Linked DNA regions of Drosophila melanogaster. The gene in region 1 interacts genetically with each later gene. Each region holds a gene or a part of one and is shown on either strand. Other genes may lie near its edges.

What was found.
Region 2: of Dys (region 1) and fra, changing one suppresses a phenotype caused by changing the other (phenotypic suppression), as found in Drosophila melanogaster (one study listed by BioGRID).
Region 3: of Dys (region 1) and capt, changing one enhances a phenotype caused by changing the other (phenotypic enhancement), as found in Drosophila melanogaster (one study listed by BioGRID).
Region 4: of Dys (region 1) and robo1, changing one suppresses a phenotype caused by changing the other (phenotypic suppression), as found in Drosophila melanogaster (2 studies listed by BioGRID).

The regions. Positions count from the first base shown.
Region 1 is NT_033777.3:19,461,735-19,466,566, reverse strand, and holds the start of Dys (dystrophin), read right to left. Parts: upstream 3,035-4,832; 5' UTR 2,928-3,034; exon of another isoform or gene 2,886-2,927; intron 2,068-2,885; 5' UTR 1,743-2,067; coding exon 1,721-1,742; intron 1-1,720. Other genes in the region: Scsalpha2 (Succinyl-coenzyme A synthetase alpha subunit 2), read left to right, coding at 3,603-4,631.
Region 2 is NT_033778.4:12,527,441-12,532,071, reverse strand, and holds the start of fra (frazzled), read right to left. Parts: upstream 3,020-4,631; 5' UTR 2,346-3,019; coding exon 2,246-2,345; intron 1-2,245.
Region 3 is NT_033779.5:1,151,178-1,158,267, reverse strand, and holds capt (capulet), read left to right. Parts: upstream 1-1,956; 5' UTR 1,957-2,299; coding exon 2,300-2,522; intron 2,523-3,214; coding exon 3,215-3,716; intron 3,717-3,861; coding exon 3,862-3,986; intron 3,987-4,536; coding exon 4,537-4,882; intron 4,883-4,949; coding exon 4,950-5,497; intron 5,498-5,567; coding exon 5,568-6,091; intron 6,092-6,152; coding exon 6,153-6,236; 3' UTR 6,237-6,590; downstream 6,591-7,090. Other genes in the region: Vps29 (vacuolar protein sorting 29), read right to left, coding at 6,857-7,090.
Region 4 is NT_033778.4:22,697,938-22,702,654, forward strand, and holds the start of robo1 (roundabout 1), read right to left. Parts: upstream 3,034-4,717; 5' UTR 2,941-3,033; intron 2,659-2,940; exon of another isoform or gene 2,260-2,658; intron 2,098-2,259; 5' UTR 2,016-2,097; coding exon 1,865-2,015; intron 1,798-1,864; coding exon 1,676-1,797; intron 1,440-1,675; coding exon 1,259-1,439; intron 1,148-1,258; coding exon 1,029-1,147; intron 969-1,028; coding exon 515-968; intron 455-514; coding exon 1-454. Other genes in the region: CG30259 (uncharacterized protein), read right to left, coding at 3,507-3,932, 3,989-4,567.

The DNA.
Region 1 (4,832 bases):
AATAAACAAATGGAAACCCATTAGCCAAAAAAAAAAAGAGCAAAATAGCGGGAATAACAAATTGCGAGCTGTAGTTGGAGTAATTTTTTACGGGCGTGCGCATTTTTGACTCCGTGTCCGTGTTACTTGAAAAGACCGGCTGCACTGGTATTGGTAATGTGTGCTCCAGATCCCACTAAGCTCAAATACAAAAACATATCAAATAAAACCGACACATGTGGCCAAATGCAAATGCGCATTTTGTCGCATTCCAAGCCCAGCTGGTCGAGCGGATTTCGATCCGAACTGGTGGCTTTGCCGGTTTTAAGCCGCAGACAAACCAGCGACACTCATGGATACGCCTAATGCCATCCAAGCCCGAATTTGGAATTCGAAAACTGTTGAATACTTTACATTTAATCTAAAAACGAAATAGAATACTTAGCAATTTTATTCGAAACCCTTGCTTGGGGTTTATCAACTACAGATTGTCGAAATAGTTATATATTATTTATAAAAATCGAATGATCGTTTATTTGCGTTGAAGTTTTTGTAAGTCTACAAATTTTAAAACTCATATTATTAATATTTATAAGAAATACAATATACCCTCGGCATTTTCGCCGCCGGGTTTTATGGAAACCCGCACATATTAGATTTCTCGCACAAATTGGTGCGGTTCGGTGTCTAAACCGAGTCTCAATTACACCCGTTCGCAGCCCGCTCCCCCGATTTTCCACCCAACCCCCCTCCACAGCGGTTGGGTGCTCATTAGCTGAGCGCGGGTTACGCAGAGCATTCGGCTTGGGAGCGTTAGCAACCGCCGTCTACAGACCAGGCCACACCCTCTGCTCCTCACTCGCATTTTCCAGCTGTCCCCTCAGAACTCGGCCGACTCTGCATTTGCCCGATCATTAAATGCTTAACCAAATGAGTTAAAGCGATGTATCTGTATCTGTGGTTCTGAATGGGGTGTGTGCCATCACTTTGTTGTTCCAGGACACTGGGCGAAAAAATTAGCTCAGTTCGATTTATATTAGGATTTGAAATTTAAATCGCTTTGTTCTTGAGATACAATGTGGCTTCGAAAAATTGTCTGACTAGCTTAATTTCTCAATTGCAAATGTATTTTTCATCTTCTTTACTTACTTTCTAATTATAATTATTTTCTTTTCTTTAACACTTTTTAATATTCTGTAGATTAGAAAAATTTCTCCCAGTGATTGCATATGTTTCTGTGACTACAAGCAACATGTGGTCGTCTGTTTGTCTCCGTTTTTAAAGTCGCTTCTGCGAGCGAAGAAAGCATGGAAATTATTTCAGATATGTGAAATGGGGGCACGAGTTCTGAGCCCTCGAAATAATTGCTCTTCCCCCAATGGGGTTAAGTTTTGAGAAGGGAGTGCAGTTGGATGATCTGTGGATTTTTTCTGTAATTAGCTCCGAACATGTGTGGGAATAAATGCATACAGAATACTTTTTGAACGACTTTTTGACTTAATTTTATGCTACAAAGCAAACTAAGCAAAATATTTTTAAGAATATTTACCAATAAACTTAAGAGAAAGAACACTACATACATTAAATTGTATATATAAATTGATTTATCTGTTATTGGATCGAATTTTTAATGATTTTCCAAACAAGAAATATGACTTATCTCATCTTGTATTTTAACATCTGCCTTGAAGTCAGTAATGATTTTCTCTTTAAAAACCCATATAAAGATCTACAATCTTACCAATTAAAATTCCGGGTTCCATAGTCGTATAATCCTTGATTCGCTTAATCCCAGTAGCGAATTGATTTCGTTTCGATAAAATTTAAAATCACCAACATAAAAACCTATGCTTTTCAAGGTCGTATCGTATCGAATTGAATTACAAAATCGTTGAATCACATGGACACAATTCGGGTTATTTATTTCGGTTTGATTGATATGTATGCTTCGTGGTAAGACAACTGATATCGCCGCATTTCGTTTTTTTTTACCACTTTCGCACCATTTGGTTTTGTTTACCGCTTCGTTTCGTAATATTTCGCGTTAATTTCCAGAAATCGAAGGTGTGCCAAGAATTCTACAAAGACCTAAAATCACAATTGCAGAATGTCGAATATTAAAGGTGACACCTGTGATGTTTGTTTTCTTATTAGACTTTGTGTTGACTTTCCCACCAAGAAACAAATATGTTTTGCGCATGCGCAACGGCAAAGAGAATGAGCGAGAGAGAGGAAGTGAGCGGGAGTCAGGAAACTACCGTTAGGTTTTCCTCTGCTTTTAATGAGTTTTTGTGTTTGCCTGCCATTTTTAATTTTAACAAGCAGCGTTGTTTACCAATTTGATTGTTTTATTTACTTTTTTCCATTTTCTTTATCAATTTCTTAGTCTCTCTCTCTCTCTTTTTATCTTTCCCCGCTCTCACGCTCATCAAAAAGCAAACACCGGTTAACGAGGAACGCTGGAAACGTCCGAAACAGTGCGGCATTAAAAGCGAAAACCAGAAATGGAACGTGTGGCTATTGGAACAGACAACACTTTTGTTGTTGCTATCGTGGGTAATTTGTGAGTCAAAGAATCAAGAATGCGTGAATGTGTGTGTTTGTTGGAAAAAAAGAGTTAAAACCTCTAAAAACTCGATTAAAGACAAGGCAAAACCTTAAGTTTGGCACACCAATTGCGATTTCAAGCACTTGCTGTTGAAATTCCTTCGGAATTTATATTATTTCTCCACTTTTGCTCAAACAACTTGTGGCACACTCACACACGCGCACAAATTCTACACCTTGAACTTGCGTCAGCTTTTTTTTTTGCTCTTTCCCATTATCTTTTCATTTTAGGTAACCACTTTAAGTGCCTTTTTCAATTTACAAACTTTTCTTGGTTATTAAACTTTCGGGACACGCACTTGCAGCCAATTTTGATTTTCCTGCGCTGCTTCTTTTGTTACTTTTTCTTCTCGGCTCACAACGACGGCGCGCAGAAAAAAACCAGTAACATCATGGTGTTTATCCGACGCGTTTTAAGTCTTTACGCTTCGAAGTCAGAAAGCGATCTGAAACGCGATCGTAACGTAGCTATTCTTGTTCGCTCTCTTTGAACGATGATCTTATTGGAACGGGTTGCAGCCCAACTGGCCAAAGCGGGCGTTTCAGTTCAGCTGTTTCGCGCGCTCAGAGAGTGAGAGCGAGATAAAAGAGGAGTTTCTATTGGATTTCAATTAAAATCGAATCGGAATTAATTGAAGGGCTGAGCGCAGGCACAGTGGGGTAGATAATTTGTTTTCATTTTTACTTTAACAAGTTACTATCAAATTTATATTATAACAGATAATAACTCTTTAAATTTAATAACATGAAGTTACAAAGCAAGGTTTAGGAGTTATAGGACCTCAATGTTGTATAAAAGAAAATGCACTTAAACATGCATGTACGTAAATTACCAGAAAAGGATTTGTTAAGAACACAGCAGGCCTTTTTCCAAACCTCCCTGATAATTTGACTGTTGAAACCTGACATTCGGTCAACAGTTTTGGTAAGAACTCCATTCTAAATCAGGCCCCAAAAGTTTAATTTTTTGGCCCAAAAACAAATCCACCAGCAATCCAAGACTTAATTCCCACAAAATGTCACTAAATCGAGGAAGCAAGATGCTCCTGCGGGCGTTAACGCCCCAAATTTTGAGGCGTGGCAAGGCGGACTATGGCAAGACGGTGTGCAACCTGAAGATCAACAAGGCAACAAAGGTTCTAGTCCAGGGATTCACCGGCAAGCAGGCCACTTTCCACTCGGAGGAGTCCATAAAGTACGGAACCAATATAGTTGGCGGTGTGAATCCCAAAAAGGGAGGTACGGAGCATCTGGGCAAGCCCGTATTCAAATCGGTGGCAGAAGCTGTGGAGAAGGCGAAGCCAGATGCCACGGTGATCTTTATACCACCTCCATCCGCCGCCGAGGGTATTTGCGCGGCTATCGAGAGTGAAATTGGCTTGATTGTGGCCATCACCGAGGGTATTCCCCAGGCGGATATGGTGCGGATATCGCAAATGCTGAATTGCCAGGAGAAGTCCCGCCTGCTGGGACCCAACTGTCCGGGAATCATCTCGCCGGATCAGTGCAAAATCGGAATAATGCCGGGAGATATCCACAAGCGAGGAGTGGTGGGCATAGTCTCGCGGTCGGGAACCCTGACCTACGAGTCCGTCCATCAGACCACCAACGTGGGATTGGGTCAGGCTCTTTGCGTTGGCCTCGGCGGGGATCCCTTTAACGGAACTAGCTTCATAGACGCCCTCAAAGTGTTTCTGTCCGACAAGGAGATCAAGGGCATTGTCATGATTGGAGAGATTGGCGGATCCGCCGAGGAAGAGGCTGCCGATTTCCTTAAGGAGAAGAACACTGGCTGCGAGGCCAAGCCAGTAGTTGGCTTCATTGCTGGACAGACTGCTCCACCGGGTCGTCGAATGGGTCACGCCGGCGCCATCATTTCCGGTGGCAAGGGAGCGGCCAAGGACAAGGTGGCCGCCCTGGAGAAAGCGGGAGTCCGTATGACCGCCAATCCCTGCCACCTGGGCTCCACGCTCCTCGAGGAAATGATCCGCCTGAAACTGGTGCCCAAGCCGAACAAAAAGAAGGCTCAGGCCGGGAAGAAGTAGGAGTGGCGGAACAAGTTATTGATGCCAATAAACTAACTTAGTGCTCTTTAAATTGCTAAAATATCTCTTTTATTTTTTTTTCGAAGTCTAAATTATAAAATTGATGAAGAAGTTCAATGGGATTATATCTAAACACATAACAAACAGAAAAAATATATTTTTTTAATATTTAAGTAATGTTTAAGTAGTGTTTTGATAAAA
Region 2 (4,631 bases), on another chromosome or scaffold:
GAAAAAATGTGTCCAGGAATATGAAAAGGGGTGCGAAATTAGAATAACATGTCACTCATATATTGTATCACGTAATGCGGCTAAATGTGCTCCTGGCCACGGGAAAAAGCCAGTGAACGCCAGGGTGAGGCGACTCGCCCAGGACAACATCAAACAATTGCCACAATTCACGGGCTAAAGAGCGAGGAAATATGACCAGGAAAGTGAAAACACAGAGCGCCACAAATAAGCACGAAAATGGGAACAGGACCTCGCACGTGAGTTTTTCGTACACGGTATAAGTAGGATCCTTCTATAAAATCAACTAGTTTGTTTAGCAAGATAGAAAAAACCACAAGGGTGTCTTAAGGCCACATAGATCTAAAGATCAAAATAAATTATTAAAATGCTTTTCTATAATTTAATTTAACTAACACGGAAATGTCTAACTTTGTCTTACTTTCATAGTATCTTATCAACCTTAATTGATGCATTATTATACGGTACTAAGTGGTCGTGAAGCCACGTGAGTCCATTGTTGTCACACAATTCTTTTCAGCTAGTTACACCCATGTAAGTAAAGTTGTTTTCTTTTTTTTTTAATTACATACCCACCACATAAAGCTTGAAGTTATGTGAGGGAATGCTTTTAATTAAATCTGGCATTAAGTCCTGCGACTTATGACATGCCATGACCTAAAAATTTGTTCAAAGATTTTTCATTCCATTTGCATATGACATGCCCCGACAATTTTTTACGACCGCACTTTTTTTGGGGTCCTTTTTCGGGCTGTCTTGGAGCTGGCGTTGATAAATTTTGCAGCTGATAAGGCGGCTCCCCGTTTTTCCAGGACACTTTTCACTTTTAGGGGTGGCTTTTCTTTCTCGTTTCGAAGATGGCGCAGAGACGAGATTCACGGCAGGACATTTAATTTGTTTGCATTATTTGCGCCTTTTGCGGGGATTTCCATTATCCCTCCCTCATTTTACGCGATTGTTTATTTCTCCAGCCGAAAATGGAAATATGATAAGCCTCTAAGCCACCCCTGGCTTAGTTTTCAAACCAAATCAATCAATTGATGCATTGTGCAGCTGCCCACCGATCTTGGGTAATCTTCTTCTGGGACCTAAAACTGAAACTGTGCCTGATCCTAAAACCTAATTGCATTTTGGGCTGCACTGGTTCTACCTGCGCTTACCTACCTGATCCCCTAAGATCACTTGTTCCCTGGCTTTGAGCTAATGATAATGACTCTTACGGCTACCATTTTGTTGGATTCTATTTCTTCGATTTCAGAATACTTTTTCACAGGAAATCGTGTTTGTTTTGGCTCAAATAATCGCAAACAAGTGCGTTGGTTTTCAATTCATGTTGTGCAGTGTTTAGTTTATCTCGTTTCAAGCGAAGCTCATTAGTAATGTTTAAGTTTTGAAGCACTATCGGTTTCGCAACCATCCCATTTTGAGTTCTTATCTGCAGGTGATATGATGGGAAGCAATTACGGTGAATTACCCCGGGTGATTGGCACATGTGGATGGAATAGGGCAGGGTTTTTGAAAGTACCTCAATTTTACGAGTGCAAAAAGAGCGCGAGTTGCGAAATATGACAGCTTATCGGATCAGTTCGCCGTTGACATCACCTTTCGCACATGAGGCTTTTTTTTTTTTGTGGGTCCCAATGCCTGCTTTCTGGCACGTCGACCAGACATCCAGTCGCCAAAACTGTACTTGCATTCATATTTGTTAAAATACAGATATCGAACTTTATGGTACCCGAATACACAACATAGATAGGGAATTGTACGAAGAGTAAAGTAACAGATAGTGTCATAAAATATGGTGGATGAGTGTAGTGAACTAAAAATTACTGGGCTGACAAACCACGTAGTTCATCTATTCGTACTATTTAATCGTAATATTTATTGAAGTGATATAAACTCATCTAATCTACCGAATTTATACACTGTTTTAGATTATTTCCTCCTGTCAGAAGGCAATTAAGGCGCAGCCCAAGAATTAAAGTTCAATCACATGTTCATAAAATTTTTTTTATATCTTTTATAATCTCTTTAATAATCTATATATGTACACAATTTGATAATGTCTTTCTGTGTAAGCAACTAAGCTTGGATTTCATGGGTCTTTGGTTTAAAATTATAAATTGACAACCTGCACAGCGAAAGATAGAAACTATCTACATTTTTATAAAGCCCTCTTACGGCACTTTGGTGCAAAATATTTATCATTTCAGATTGAAGTTCTCACCTTGACTTGCCAAACTGCTGCCAATCAGCTGGAATATGAGACAACTGCTGAGCAGCCAGTTCCACAAAGTCCTGCTGCTTCTGTTTGTTGTGATGGCCATATTCTGTTTGCTTTTCGCTGATTTGGCTGGAAACCGTCGTTTGCGATCGGAGGTAATTCGAATGGCTCAGGTTTATTTGGACTTTTGCGATTTGTTTACAACATTTTGGCTCTTGATACCCGCCAATCGCCGATTGCGCCTTCTATTTGTATCCTTTGCACCCACACATACACGCGACGCAAACACTCACACGCGACTTTTACTCACTCCACTTTTGTTGTGTATTCTTGGGCGATTATTGCTTTCGATTCTCTTGTTTTACGCTATTCGCATCAATCGTTTACGCGTTTTTGTTTTGCCGGCATTCGCCGCCTATTGTTGTTGTTTCAGGTCTTGTTGTTGCTGTTATTGCACGCTTGCAAGCGGGGCATTTTTACAACAACAGAAAATACTATCAACAAATTGCGCACACACACTCGAGTAAGTAGCGTTGTCTCGCTCTAACCTTCGGCAGGCATCAGGACTTGCAGCTGCAGTTCTATTTAAAACACATTTTCAGCGGCTGTATGTATTATTTGAGTGCCTTTTTCATTTATTTTCGATTTTGGCTGCACTTATTTTAATTTTCTACCTCTTTGCGATGGATTTTACTATTGGCAAACGCGTTTTCTCGCCACTAAAGAGTATACATGCGCGCAACGACCTCGACGACCGAAAAAAAATCCGAAACTGTCGAAAAAATCCCTAGCTGCGCGGGTGATGCGAAAACACATCCGCTATCGATGCTTATCGATGGTCTCACTACTATCGATGACGATGAAATGACTTTCGCACCATGTTATTCTTGCATATTATAAATTCATTATCATTTTACAAAGGGGTTTCCATAAGTAACGTAGTAATCAGTGCTCAGCTTTCTTACTAACGTAATCATAATATATTTTAATGACTGTCATCGACATTGAAAAGCAATCGATACTGGAGTGCACATCACCAAAAACGCGTTAAGGTCAGTTGAGCAATTTATTCCAAATGGCGCGTAATTCAAAAGTTAGGACCAAAGTCAATTACACATCAAAAGCAACAAACATTATTATTTCGAGGACATTTGCAGTTGGGATATTAATCATATGAATTTATATCGGTATTCAAAAGGTTTGCTCCTATATTTTTAAATATTTTAAAATTTCACATATTTTCGGTTTTACTTTACACAAATTTCTTTTTATGAGAGTCACAGGAGATTAATACTTAAAAATTTTAATGGCTTTCGAAATGTACCTCAACTTTCTCCCCGACTGATCTTGTTCATAAGTACGTTATTTCAGAAAAATCCTTTGACAGAAAACTTTATGCTCAAACCAATGGGAAAATCTCCTGTTTGAAATGCATTTTTTGCAGTTGGCCAGTGATTGCCACCCCCGAGCAACCGACGTGCAGACAGGTTGTGGTTAAAAGTTGTGGCTCTAAAAAAATGCATGTGGCAAAGGAACACTCATTTTAAAAGCGCCGACCAGCAACCAGCAGGAACTTTAAAGGCTGAAAAAATGAACATATCACTTTTCGCCTCGGAGAAATGTGAACGCAATAAAAAATCCGACCAAGGCCGACAAATTGTTGGTTGGGCGTGGGGTGGGGGGCGTGGCGTTGAAATGATAAATTTCACATTAAATGCCAGCGCTTAAGCGAAAGCGTCGTAAAAATAAACGACGGGGTGAAAAAGAAGGGGGAGGCATTTTTTTTTGGACTGGCAGGCCGCAAAAATAAGTGAAATGAAATTCCCTTCATTAGCGTATCATCCGTATGCCCACAAAATGTGGGTCAAGTTTCGAGGACTTGGATCAAATTACCAGAACCGGAGATTTTTCGCTGCTAATTGCAGGTTTTTTAAAAGCAGCACACACATTTCCCCACCAGACGCCACTGCAATTTTCAGTTTTAATTAATCCGAGCTACCGAGTCTTTCGAGTATCCGTATCTGTATGTGCATCCGCATCCCTGTATCTGTTATGCCAGCTTGAAGTTGGGCAACTTCTGGGCACCCACAAAACGCGGCGACTGATGGTGATTTGGATTCTGATTCGGATGTTCTTCCCATTCAAAGCTTTTAGGTGCCGACACGAAAAGGCGCTTAAGTGAATTAAGCCTGTGTGTGGTAATATATAAATTAAGGCATGCACTTCGGACATGGAAATTGCTTAAATATATAAAAGGTTCTCTCGTTTAACTTGGCAAATCCATTGTTCATGGCACTAAAGACTTTCACTGCAAATCGCTTCCTAAGAAAGTTGTTAACTTGGGTAGAACTAATAAAGGCAAAGATTTTAAATCCAGAGCCATTAGGAA
Region 3 (7,090 bases), on another chromosome or scaffold:
TTTAGTATTCTGCCACCCACATAAGGGTTAACTCGCTTGACTATTTCCACGAATGTACGCCTGGTCCCACCAAAGGCCACGCCAAGTTATTATTTTCGCCATTTCGCCGGTGTTCGCTACGCAGCTTCTCGTCAGTTCTAATTGGAATACAACTGCAGATCCTTGCAAATTCATCAGCAGCAAAAGAAGGTGAGTAACGCCTGATTGTTGCTAAAAACGTTCATTTAAACGGGGCTTTGCTATTATTCGCAAATTCTCTTCTCCCGTTCGCCGGCTGAAAGTGTCTGCGGAATTAACGGTTATTGGTGAGGGGTGGGTGGTGCTGTCACGAATTTGAGCGTGTGTGTGTGATGCAGGCTGTGGGTGTTTGTACACACACAACAACAACAACAGCGAAGAGAGCCAAAAAGACAAGAGACAGCTGTGTGATGGCTATTTTTGTGTGATTCATGTTGCTTGTAAAATTAAATCTACATGGTGTATTTTTAACGATGATTTCATATCCGATTCCATGGCATAAAGACACAACTAATTCATTGCCAGCAAGTGTATGCAAATTAACCCTTAGCAGCTCCCATTGCGATTGTTAACCCCCGATAAAAAAAAGTAACTACTCAGCTGTTGTGGCCATTTTTTGTTTTTGTTTCGCTGACTCACAGACACATAGTTGATATGCATATGTATGTATGCATGTATGTAGTTTACGCAAGAGCAAACACGTTTGCTTGTATTCGTGCGCGAATGAGTCAAAAAGTTGGCCAAAACGCTTTTATCAGCGAATCGCGATTGAAAATCGGCAGATATTACCACTCACTCGATTTCGGTGGAAGAAAATAACACCTCGCCTTATAAGGTGGGCGATTTTTCTTCTACCATTACGAACACCCCCCACCCCTGGTAATTCGAGCTCACTCACACTCTCGCAGCGGGAATAACGGTTCCTCAGCTGCAGACATTTAATCTTGGTTTCTAGTTTTTCTTCCCCATTTCTTCTTTGCTTTCTGCACGCAACAAACGCATCTGCCGCAGAAAACGCATCAAGACTGCAAGGAGAACTAGTATCGCCAGGCGAAAGTTGAATCTCGGCTTACTTGTCCTCGGCGGCTTAGCCCCTCCCTCCAATCCAACGGCTACTGATGCATTTCCCACTCTAATTGCCAGCCATTTGTTTAAAGCTACTTAAAAACAAAAACAACGTTGCCGGTGCAATAAACCCATTGCACTAAGGCCAAAACAAAAACTGGCAAGCAAACGATATGGGAGTTTCAGTTACGTCGACGTTTTTATACTCTTCTGCGGCAGATTACTTCACAAAAAGCTGAACATTTTAAAACTGTTTTTATAGCCGGCTAAGATATGATCATTGCATCTCTCTACTCTCTATGGCTTACAAACGTTATGGTAATGCTCAAAATGGAATCATAGTTTCATTACCGATCATTCCTGGAAACTTTCCAAATAGTAAAGATAACTCGGTGTTGTCACAACTAATTGATAGGCGAACCCTGCCTTACAGGGCTGATAAAACTATGGGATCGCCGTGGTTTTCCCTCACTTAAGTCGCGCCACCCGTGGCGAGAAGGGTATCACGAAATCACAGTGGTGTCTGCGCAACTCTCTCGGAGAGTTTTCCATTTTCCGCCTGGACCGTAAGCTTTCTCTGCTGCAAAAGTGCAAGACATCGCCGGAGCTTGCACAAAATCCTGCATGTCAGGCCAAAAGCGGTTATTAATGAAACACATTTCATTGCCAGTCGGTGGCTGGCCCCAAATGGTCAAAAGCAGCGCGGAGTAGCCCAACAAGGCGGCGAAACTCAGCAGTTAACAGCGCGGAGCTCTCCTAACAGAGTCCTGTTGAGACCTTCGAGTTCGAGTTCGAAATCGAATCGAATCCCCGAGTGCGTGGGCGTGCGCTTCGTTTAGGGTGTGTTCTGTTCTCCGTGTGTAATCGCATTTGTGTGCCATTTGGTTCTGTGCTTGGTCGGCAGTCACTTGACCCAGTTGAAGGCGCGGACAACTCGGAGGACCTTATTAATGTGCCACTAAATTTGGGCCATACACTGAATATATGTACACAGTGAGCAAGGAGTGGCCACGTTCGTTGGAAACCCGTTGAGTGTCTTATATGGCTGCTGCTGTTACTGCTTCTACTGATTCGATTTGGTTTGGTGTGCCGTCAGTGTTGTGACCGCCGCTTGAGCTTCACGGGCATCCGCAGTCGAGCCACGGAACTTACATAATGTGCTTGATTCGTACCTAGAGTGTTGAGCACCGGAAAAGCCCAGCCACACGCCTGCAAAATGTTCTCCTGCTGCCGATCGAACCCCAAGGCGGGCAAGAAGGAGAAGGAAAAGCGGAACGCAGAGGAGGAGAACGGCGGACAGGTCACCGAAAAGGAGGAACCCCAGCTGAACGGCAAGCCAGGAACTCCGAAGGAGGAGCCAGAGCCTGTGAAACCAGAAAAGGAGCTCTTGGAAGCGCATAATCCCGAGGATGTGCCCACAAGCACCCAGCCAAACACTGGTACTGACGCAACGCTAAGTATTTACCCACCACCCCATCTATTCGCGTTCTCCGGCCTTCGAGCTCAACAGCTGTCTCGGCTTTTGTCTGCTCTCCGGAACGAAGGCCCCTATCCGGCCGGCTCTCACTCACTGCAATGCCACTGCAGCTGACCACCACTTCTGATCTTTCCTTTCATTTCAATCCGGGCACTTCAAGCTGCCTTGAGTGTCCTTTTCTATTTACTTATGAGTTGTCTTCACTGTGCTTTCTCTTCGGTTTATTTCTGTGAATTTTATACATATGAATATCAAGGAATTGCGCCGATTCTCAGTTGATTAATGAGGAATAGCTAATGACATTGCATACACACTTTTTGTTGAGCACTTAGATCGTGCTCATCCATCAAAGTGAACGTATAGTATATAGTAGTGACGAATATAGAAACTAAAATGAAGGTCAATAATTTAGACAGAAAATTCAAGATTCTATAGATTCTATAATAATAAGGTGAGCAGTAAAAACTAACTACTCAATCTGCCAGTGACCATGGTAAATGCTTTTAAATGCGATAAATAAACATAATGAAGACAGGAAGCGAGGTGAGCAGAGAGTGAAGTGAAGTAATCAACTTAAGTATCGGCGCTTTCCTTGATGATCGTCTTGGTAATTCGTCGCTTCATGTAGAGTAATCTTAAGCAACACTTCCACAGCCCAACCAACTCAGGCTGAAGCGGCTAGCAAATCATCACCAGCAAATCCAGCACTAGCACCCAAAGAACCGGAGCCACTGGCCCGCTCAACGCACTCTTCCACATCCACGGCACCACCTGCTTCGATGACCAGCGGCGACGCGGAGGAGGCGGACGAAGTGGTGGTGGTGGCGACGGTCACGCCGACCACACCGCCTCCTCAGCCGCCGCCCACCAAGAGCTGCCTGTCCAGGCACAACTCAACGCATCAGTCGATCAAGAAGAAGGTGAATATCAGCAACCGGGCGGAGATCATCGAGCCGGATCCACTGCCACTGCTCCTGCTGGCCAGCCAGAATCAGGGCTCCTTGCTGGACGACGACGAGGTGTTCTCCGACTCACTGCCGCCACCCAAGCGGGAGAGCATGTGTGCACCCTACATCGAGGGGGATGTCGTCTCGGAAACACTCTTCTTTGCCCACGGATTACCCTCGTGGTTCGACGACGAGCGCCTGAACGACATGTATGCTTACCCAAGATCCTGTTTTGGTTTCACGCCCAAAATATCCATATAGTTAAGCTGAAACCAGAACAGGTCGACCCCTGCATTCCCAGCCCCGCTTTGAATTGCCAGTACATCGTCTCCTCTGTCCTCGTTCCATGTCCAGCGGCTGCATCGAGCCCCCGGTCACGCCGGTGGGACGCGACGAGCTGGAGCTGAAGCGCCAGCGTCTCTACACGGAGCTCCTGCGGGCCGCCCATGCGGCTGTGGAGCATAGCGTGGCCGTGCGGGGTATGCGAGCTTCGATAGAGTCCGATTCTTTTGCTTTTTTTTTTCGATCTCAGCAGTTATTTAAGCGGATGCTTGACTTTCTGTGTTCTTTATGTGTTCGTTTTCGCTGTGAAGAAGTTTTGAGAGTCTAGCGATTCACGTAACTTCCTGATGGCCAATAAGTTCGCAAGTCAAGTGCTTCCGTTTAAAGGTTCAACTTAGTTCTTCTCTCTTATGATTTTTCGTTGTCTTGTGCCGTTTTTGCATGTGGATTATTACTTTCACTCGTTGGGATTAGCTCTTTTTGCATATTGAACTTTATAAGTATTAAGCGCACCAGTTCATCATCATACACAAGCTCGTGATGAGGTATTCCTCTCGAGACGCCTTAGTTTATATCGCCTTTTTTGTCAGGTATTGTGAGTGCACGATTCACTGGGGTTTATCACGCTGAAGCATCATCTCACTCAAGTTATTTTCTTTATAAAACTCAGTGTTATTTGAATAATTCGAGATAATTGCCAAAACGAACTAAACATTTGCCGTTCTCCTCCGCGTCATTTTGGTTCAGATAACGAGCCGGAAGCCAAGCCCTCGGCCGCCGTCGACCACTTGGAGAGCATTTGCGAGCGACTGGAGACCCTCGTCGACCGATTGGAACGGACTCTAACAGCGCCACAGCCGATAGAACTGCCCACGCCCACACTCCCGCCTCCGCCAGCCGAAGAAGAAGAAGCTCTTCCAGTTTTTGAAAAAGCAGAGACACCACCTCCACCTCCCTCGCCGCCCAGCAGCAACATGAGTGTCGCCGGATTCGAGGACATTGTGGCGGGTCCGCTGAGCCAATACCTAACTCTCTCCGCCAAAATTGGCGGCGATGTGGCGCAGCATGCGGAGCTCGTGAAGAGCGCCTTTGGGTGAGTCAGTCTGGATGAGTCATCTATGGTAAAAGTGTAATAATGCCATCGTTCAATTCCGCAACAGCTCCCAACTGCAGTACGTGACGCTGGCCACCCAGATCGCCCAGCCGGCGCAGCCCAAGCAGGCGGAGCTTCTGAAGCCGACCTCGACGCAGATCAGCGCCATCCAGGACTTCCGCGAGAAGCACCGCTCCTCGCCCTTCTTCAACCACCTGTCGGCCATCAGCGAAAGCATTCCCGCCTTGGGCTGGGTGTGCGTGGAGAAGACCCCGGGTCCCTATGTCAAGGAGATGAACGACGCCGGCCAGTTCTACACGAACCGCGTGCTCAAGGAGTGGAAGGAGAAGGATGTTACGCATGTGGAGTGGGCCCGCGCCTGGGTGCAGACGCTCACCGAACTGCAGGCCTACATCCGGCAGTACCACACCACGGGCTTGGTGTGGTCCGGCAAGGGAGCGGCCCCCGCCGGAGGTGCCCCGCCACCACCGCCACCCGGTGGTCTGCCCCCACCGCCGCCCATGCTGGATCTGAGTGCCCTCAAGCTGGATAGCGCCGGAGATGATCGCAGCGCCCTCTTCGCCCAGATCAACCAGGGTGCCGACATCACCAAGGGTGAGCAGCAACTGCAAAAATGGTTAAGTGCTCCTATAGTAAGAAAATGTATCTTTTGATAAACCCGCAGGCTTGAAGAAGGTCACTGGCGACATGCAGACCCATAAAAATCCATCTCTACGCACTGGACCGGCTCCGTTCAAATCGCCAGCCCAGTCGGGCGGCAGCAAGGCCGTTGCTGCTCCATCAGCTGCGCAAGCCAAGGCGCCCGTTTTCGAGCGCGACGGAAAGAAGTGGATCATCGAGTACCAGAAGAACAACACCGGGCTGTTGGTGGAGAACGCCGAGATGAACAACGTGGTGTATGTGTTCAAGTGTGAGGGATCCACTCTGACCGTCAAGGGCAAGGTGAACAACATCGTCTTCGACTCCTGCAAGAAGTGCTCCCTGCTGTTCGATTCCGTGGTGGCCTCCGTGGAGTTCGTCAACTGCCAGAGCGTGCAGATGCAGGTGCTCGGCTCGGTGCCGACGGTATCGATCGACAAGACCGACGGCTGCCAGATGTATCTGTCCAAGGACTCGCTGGGCGTGGAGATCGTCAACTCCAAGTCCTCGGAGATGAACATCCTGTTGCCCGACGACAGCGGCGATTATGTGAGTTCAAAAATTTGTCTCTTGTCTTCAGTCATTTATTTATTTTTTTTGTGATTTCCAGACCGAGTTGGCTTTACCGGAGCAGTATAAGACCACGATTGCCGGCAAGACCCTGAAGACTGTGTGCGTGGACAGCCTCGGCTAAGGCGGTTCTCCTCCTCGGGGATCCTGTTCGTTGCTTTTCCAACTGTCGTCAGCAGCAATCATAATTGTATTTAATCTAAGTGCAAAGTTTTCGTAATTCAAAGATTTTTAGATCAAACATTTCGTATTGATGATGTTGCCAAACATTGCTGTCCTGGCTCGTGGAAAGTATTTATATAATTTATTTCGATGGAAAAGCGATGGCCACAAACCGAACCCAATGTATTTATATCGAGAGTGTGTTGCAATGAGAAACTGAGCATGAAATCCGAACTTTTGAGCAGACTCTTTACTCGATCATCAGATGTAACTCCTTTTTATATTCTATTTAATAAAATTTAAACTTTTTTATCAGATTATTGTGGGAGTATCACAATTTCTGGGGGTGTTTTTCCTTACTTTGTAATCGTTTATTATTGCATTAAATCTAAAACTTCACTTTCGTCCGTTCGTACTTTTATTCTCTATTTAAACAAGGTGCTAGCATTTTTTATCAGATAAAAAAATGAGAACTTGATTTATTGCTACGTACATTTACAATTTCTTTAATGAAGCCGAGCTCAGAATGCAGGGGTCAAGGGTTGGATTGGAGGGGAATGGCTGGTGGCTAATACTAGGACCCTAGATCTTCTTGTACTCGATGCGCTCCACTTTGACCTCGTCGCCGATCAGTTGGTACACGTACGTGACCACCGTGGTGCTCTGAATGTCCATCAGCACGAACGAAGGCACCACATTGGTGTCCAGTGGGTTGAAGGCACCCGTGGCCGATCCCGGATTGATGTAGAATTTGTTGCCGTGCTCGTAGGCCTCGAACTTGTACGTGTGCCCCGTGATCAGGATGTCCACGTCCAG
Region 4 (4,717 bases), on another chromosome or scaffold:
ATGATGCTGTATCGATTGCCCGCTTGTACGGCATGTCCATCGTGGAACCACTTAATACGGGGACTGGGATTTCCGGTGGCCCGACAGGGTAAAGTAGCAACTGATCCCTTGGGCAGTGTTTGATTGGCAGGTCCGATTTGAATAATCGGAGGTGGACGCTCGTCTAACGAGCTGACTTGCAGGAAAACCCGTACTGTAGAGGAATCGACTACACTGAAAGCGGAACACACATAGTAGCCTTCGTCTTCCTGCCGCACATCCGTAATCTGCAGAGTTCCATCGGCAGCCACATGCTGCCTCCCGTGCGAACTATTTGGGAACATGAGAGTGGATACTCCTTCCTTGGTCCAGAAAACAGATGGCGGTGGGTTTCCGGAGGCCATGCAAGGTAGTTGGACAACACCATTTAGTCCCACTTTCTTGTTACTGGGTCTTTTCGTAAAGTTCGGCGGAGCTTTAATGAAAACAATTGAAGATTAAAACGCGATTCTTTGGTAATGGAACTTAATCTTACCATGGACTATAAGAGAAGCCCTAGCGCTGATCTGACCGACATTGTTGTGTGCCTCGCAGACATAGGTGCCCTCATCGGTGGGCGTTATGTTGGATATCTCTAAACTTTTCTCGTCGTGAAGGATTCGCGCTCTGGACACCGGAATATTGCCCTCCTCCTTTTTCCACAACACTTTCGGCGGCGGATCACCGCCCACTGAGCAGTGGAAAGTGGCTGTCTGGCCGTAGAGCATCACCTGATCCTTGGGCTCCTTCATAAAGTATGGTTTGACCTGGACAATCAGCTTGGCATAGCTGCTCTCGCGGGTGCCTACCAGATTCTGGGCAATGCACTTGTAGTTGCCCTCATCAATGGGCTCCACATTGCTGATCAGCAGGTTGCCACCGTCCACAATTCGAACGCGGGAGCTGGCGCCAAACGACATGGCTTTCAGGTCGTCCAAGGGAACGCCGTCCTAAGAGCACAAAAAGCGGTTTAGACAACTGACTTTCGCAGTCTGGTTTTCGGAACCCACCTTTATCCAAATCAGCGTTGGCTCTGGAATGCCTTTGGGCGGCCCACACTCCAGCAGAGCCGTCTCGCCTTTGGCCACTCGCGTGTCTTTGGGCTCCACGCGAAAATCGTCGCGCAAAACTAGCGAAGAAAAATTGCAAAAATATCAAAAAAGCACATTATAATCGGAGACAAAGCTGGGCGTGTGGGCAGACAAGTTGGAGAGCAGACTAGAGTGGCGGACTAACTTACCAGCTATCTGGAGCGAGGCATGGCGACTAACGGCCTGGCCCACTCGGTTCTTGGCCACGCACCAGTACTCTCCGCCGTCCTGTTCCTTCTTGCCCTGCATTGTCCTGTAGAAGAAGAGGGCGCCGTCCTTGAACTGGACGCGGTGCGATTTCTTTTCGTTGGTGCTGACGGGTTCGCCATCCTGAGAGCGGAAAGAAGAGGGGGTGATTGAGTTACGATTTGGTTCGGTTTCGAAGGCTACACGGAAAAAAACAACTACTCAAAACCACTTATATTTTGTATAATTTTTGAATTCATTTTTGTTTTGATATTTAAAGATAAATAAATATACAATATTGATATGAAAACATTAAGATCAAGTTTTCTTTTGCCAGTGTAATGGTGATTCAAGTTAGAAAAGTATTATTTGGTGGGTACCTTAAACCACTCAATGGTGGGTTCCGGCTTGCCCTCCACTTTGCAGTTGAGCGTGGCGGGTTCATTCTTCTTAACGACCAGATCCGTGGGATGCTCGATGATACGTGGCGATTGGTACTGGCCTGAAAGGAGTAGGAAGGATGTGGATTAGCCACTGGGCCTGGGGAGGATTACCCAGGATGGGTTTACCTCTGACTGCTGGCAGGCCATTGCTGGCCACCAGGACGAGGAGCAGCCAGGCGGGCAGGAGCCACATCCTGCTGCTCCGACTGCGAGATGGGTTATTAGTGGTGCTCGTGCTCCGGGCGATGGCGTGGTTTTCGGGATGCATGGGATGCATTTTATGGTGTTGGTGCTGTTGCAATGACGACTCTACAGATGACCCAATGCAGCGGCGATCATTTTGGCGTTGTTTTTGGGTCCTGCGATGCATGATAGGTGATAGTATGTGGGTTAACTAAATGTGGGCAGCTGTTACATATGTAGGCGTGGCGGCATTATGGCTAGGCATTTATGGGCTTTACTTGCTTTTTGCTTTTTATCTGTCCAAAAACTCGAAATTATTTCTCGCCTGCTCCACTTACGCTTGCATTTCCATGCGATAAGCACACACACACGCACACACTCACGCACACTTGGACACTCACACACCCACACACATGTGTCTATGCTGGTTTTCCATTAATTTTATTTCCGTATTTATCTGCCTTTGTGTTTATCGCTCAGTCTCAGTCGCACCGACCCGAAAATTTACAATCCAAATTCTGATTCGGAGTTTTGATTTCACGTTCTCACACTTTCTTTCTAACGCTTTTTTTGTATCGTTCGCTGATTTGGTTTTTATTTTCCTTTTTATTTTTTGGATTTTATTAATCAGCCGCGCAGTGTAAGTTTTTGTTGGTATTTATTCGACGATTGCTCGCTTTTCGGGGTTGTTTTCTCCATCATCTCTCCTCGCGCACATTTTCCACATTTCCCGAACGAAATTTCTTTTTGGTAAAATTACAAGAACAAGAACTGCCCCGCCACCCCTCTCACTCGCACACACTGCCGTTCTAGCTGCCTCTCGCTCGCACCGCCTGCCGTTCCTGGGACTTCCCCCCGTTGTTGTTGTATCTATATCTATAACAGAGTGTTGTATCTATAACTCCTTGTAATATTTGCTTTACATCCGCAGCAGCTGCACTTTGTAATATCCGAAAACGAGTATCTACTTCAAATGGAAGCTTCGCGGTTGGATCGTACTTTCTTGGGTGCAAACTTACTCCAATTTAACTGTTGGAAATTAACTATTTTCCTGCTCTTTAGTGCGATTCACGGCGCAGCGAAAACTCACAATTGGACGTGGGTCGTGTCTGTGGAAATTTGAGAGCGCAACGCCCGGAATCGATATATCGATATATTTTGGGGTGTACCGAAAAGGAATACTCGAAAATACCAGAGGACATATTTATCAGTTGATCTGGTAGCGCCGCGTAAAGTAACTATTTGAATCTTTAATTGATTTCTATTGTATTGAAATTGAAATCGAAAGATATACCAACTATGTTTTAAGATATTAATAAAATGTAAATATTTAAATTAATGTATGTATTGTGATGTTGAATGGTTTATTAAAAAATTCCGTTTTATTCAGAATATCTATATAATTTGTGTGTGATTGCTTAAATACGTATATATTAATATTCATGTTCACGGTAGAACCAACTGTAAAATACTATAAAAATATATAGATAATTGTTATGGTAGAGAATAGTTCCTACACCAATTTAAGGTGTTTTGTTTAATATAGTTTCCCTGCATTAATCAAATAACTACAGAGTCTAGCAAATTATTCCATTCTGGCCAGGTTCATCTTTCCCCTAGCCAAAGTCCTCGAAAGAACCACGTTGGAGAGGTTGGCTTCGAAGGCAGGCGCTCGGCTGCGTCCTGGATGCAAGTGGAAAGTGGGAGGTGTGGGCGCCGCTGGGCGACGACCAGTCGGCTGGGCACTCTTCACCAGCTTGGGCTGGAGCTGCAGGCGCGACACTCTGTCCACGGACATGCTCTTGGGCCGCCGGGCTAGATAGCTATGGACGTGGCTATTGGAGCCATTGGCAATGTTCAAATTTACCAGGTAGTCCTGCAGCTGCGTCTTTAGCTGGCTGTTCTCCGCCTCCAGGCGACGCTTCTGTTGCTTCAGGCAGGCCACGTCCACGGCCACGTTGTTGACGCGTCGCCAGAAGGACTCCATTTGGGGTACCACTGCCACCTCGTCCTGGTACGTTAAACCAATGTTGAATGAAGAAATTACCTACTGGCATTTTTACTCACCTTAAGAAGATCAGTGGCTGGGTCAGTCAAGGAACCATTACCCTGATCCTCTATATCTCGAATCTCGATAATCTCCTTGGATATTTCCGGCAACTGGAACATCCGCTCCCGCTGGGTTTCCATCTTGGCACAGACCGCAGACAACTGTGCCAGAGTCTCGCCCTTGGCCACAGTTTCCTGGAGGAATTCCAAGGCATGGTAGCTCTCCACGGACATCAGCTTGAACAACTGGTGATCCCTGGCCACCTCCTGTTCCACACAGGTGCGTAGCTCCCTTAGTCGCTCGGTCAACTGCTGTTTGATGGCTTGCCGCTGCTCCAGTTGGCCCTGTTGCTTGATGTAGAACTCCTCGGAGACCAGACGCAAATTGGTCAGCTGGTCTACCAGGTGCTCGATTTCGTGGGTCTGCTGGCTAATCTGGAGGGCTGCCTCCTCATCCCGCTGCTTCAGATCCACGTACTCCGAGTAAAAGCCTTCGATGTGCTGACAGTAGCCCGCCAGAACACCCTGATACTCCTGCCACAGCTTCTCCAATCGAGCTTCACCTCTGGAGGTGATCTGCTCCAGCTGTAGTTGCATCTGGAAGTGGGGTTCAATTTAACATGTTTTCATAAACTTTTAAAATAACCTTTATTGTAAAATATAATCATCGAAGAGCATTGCACGCAATTGTAAAATTAAGATTGATATGTGTCTTGGTTCATTGTGCGTCAGTCACTCTGTAATTTG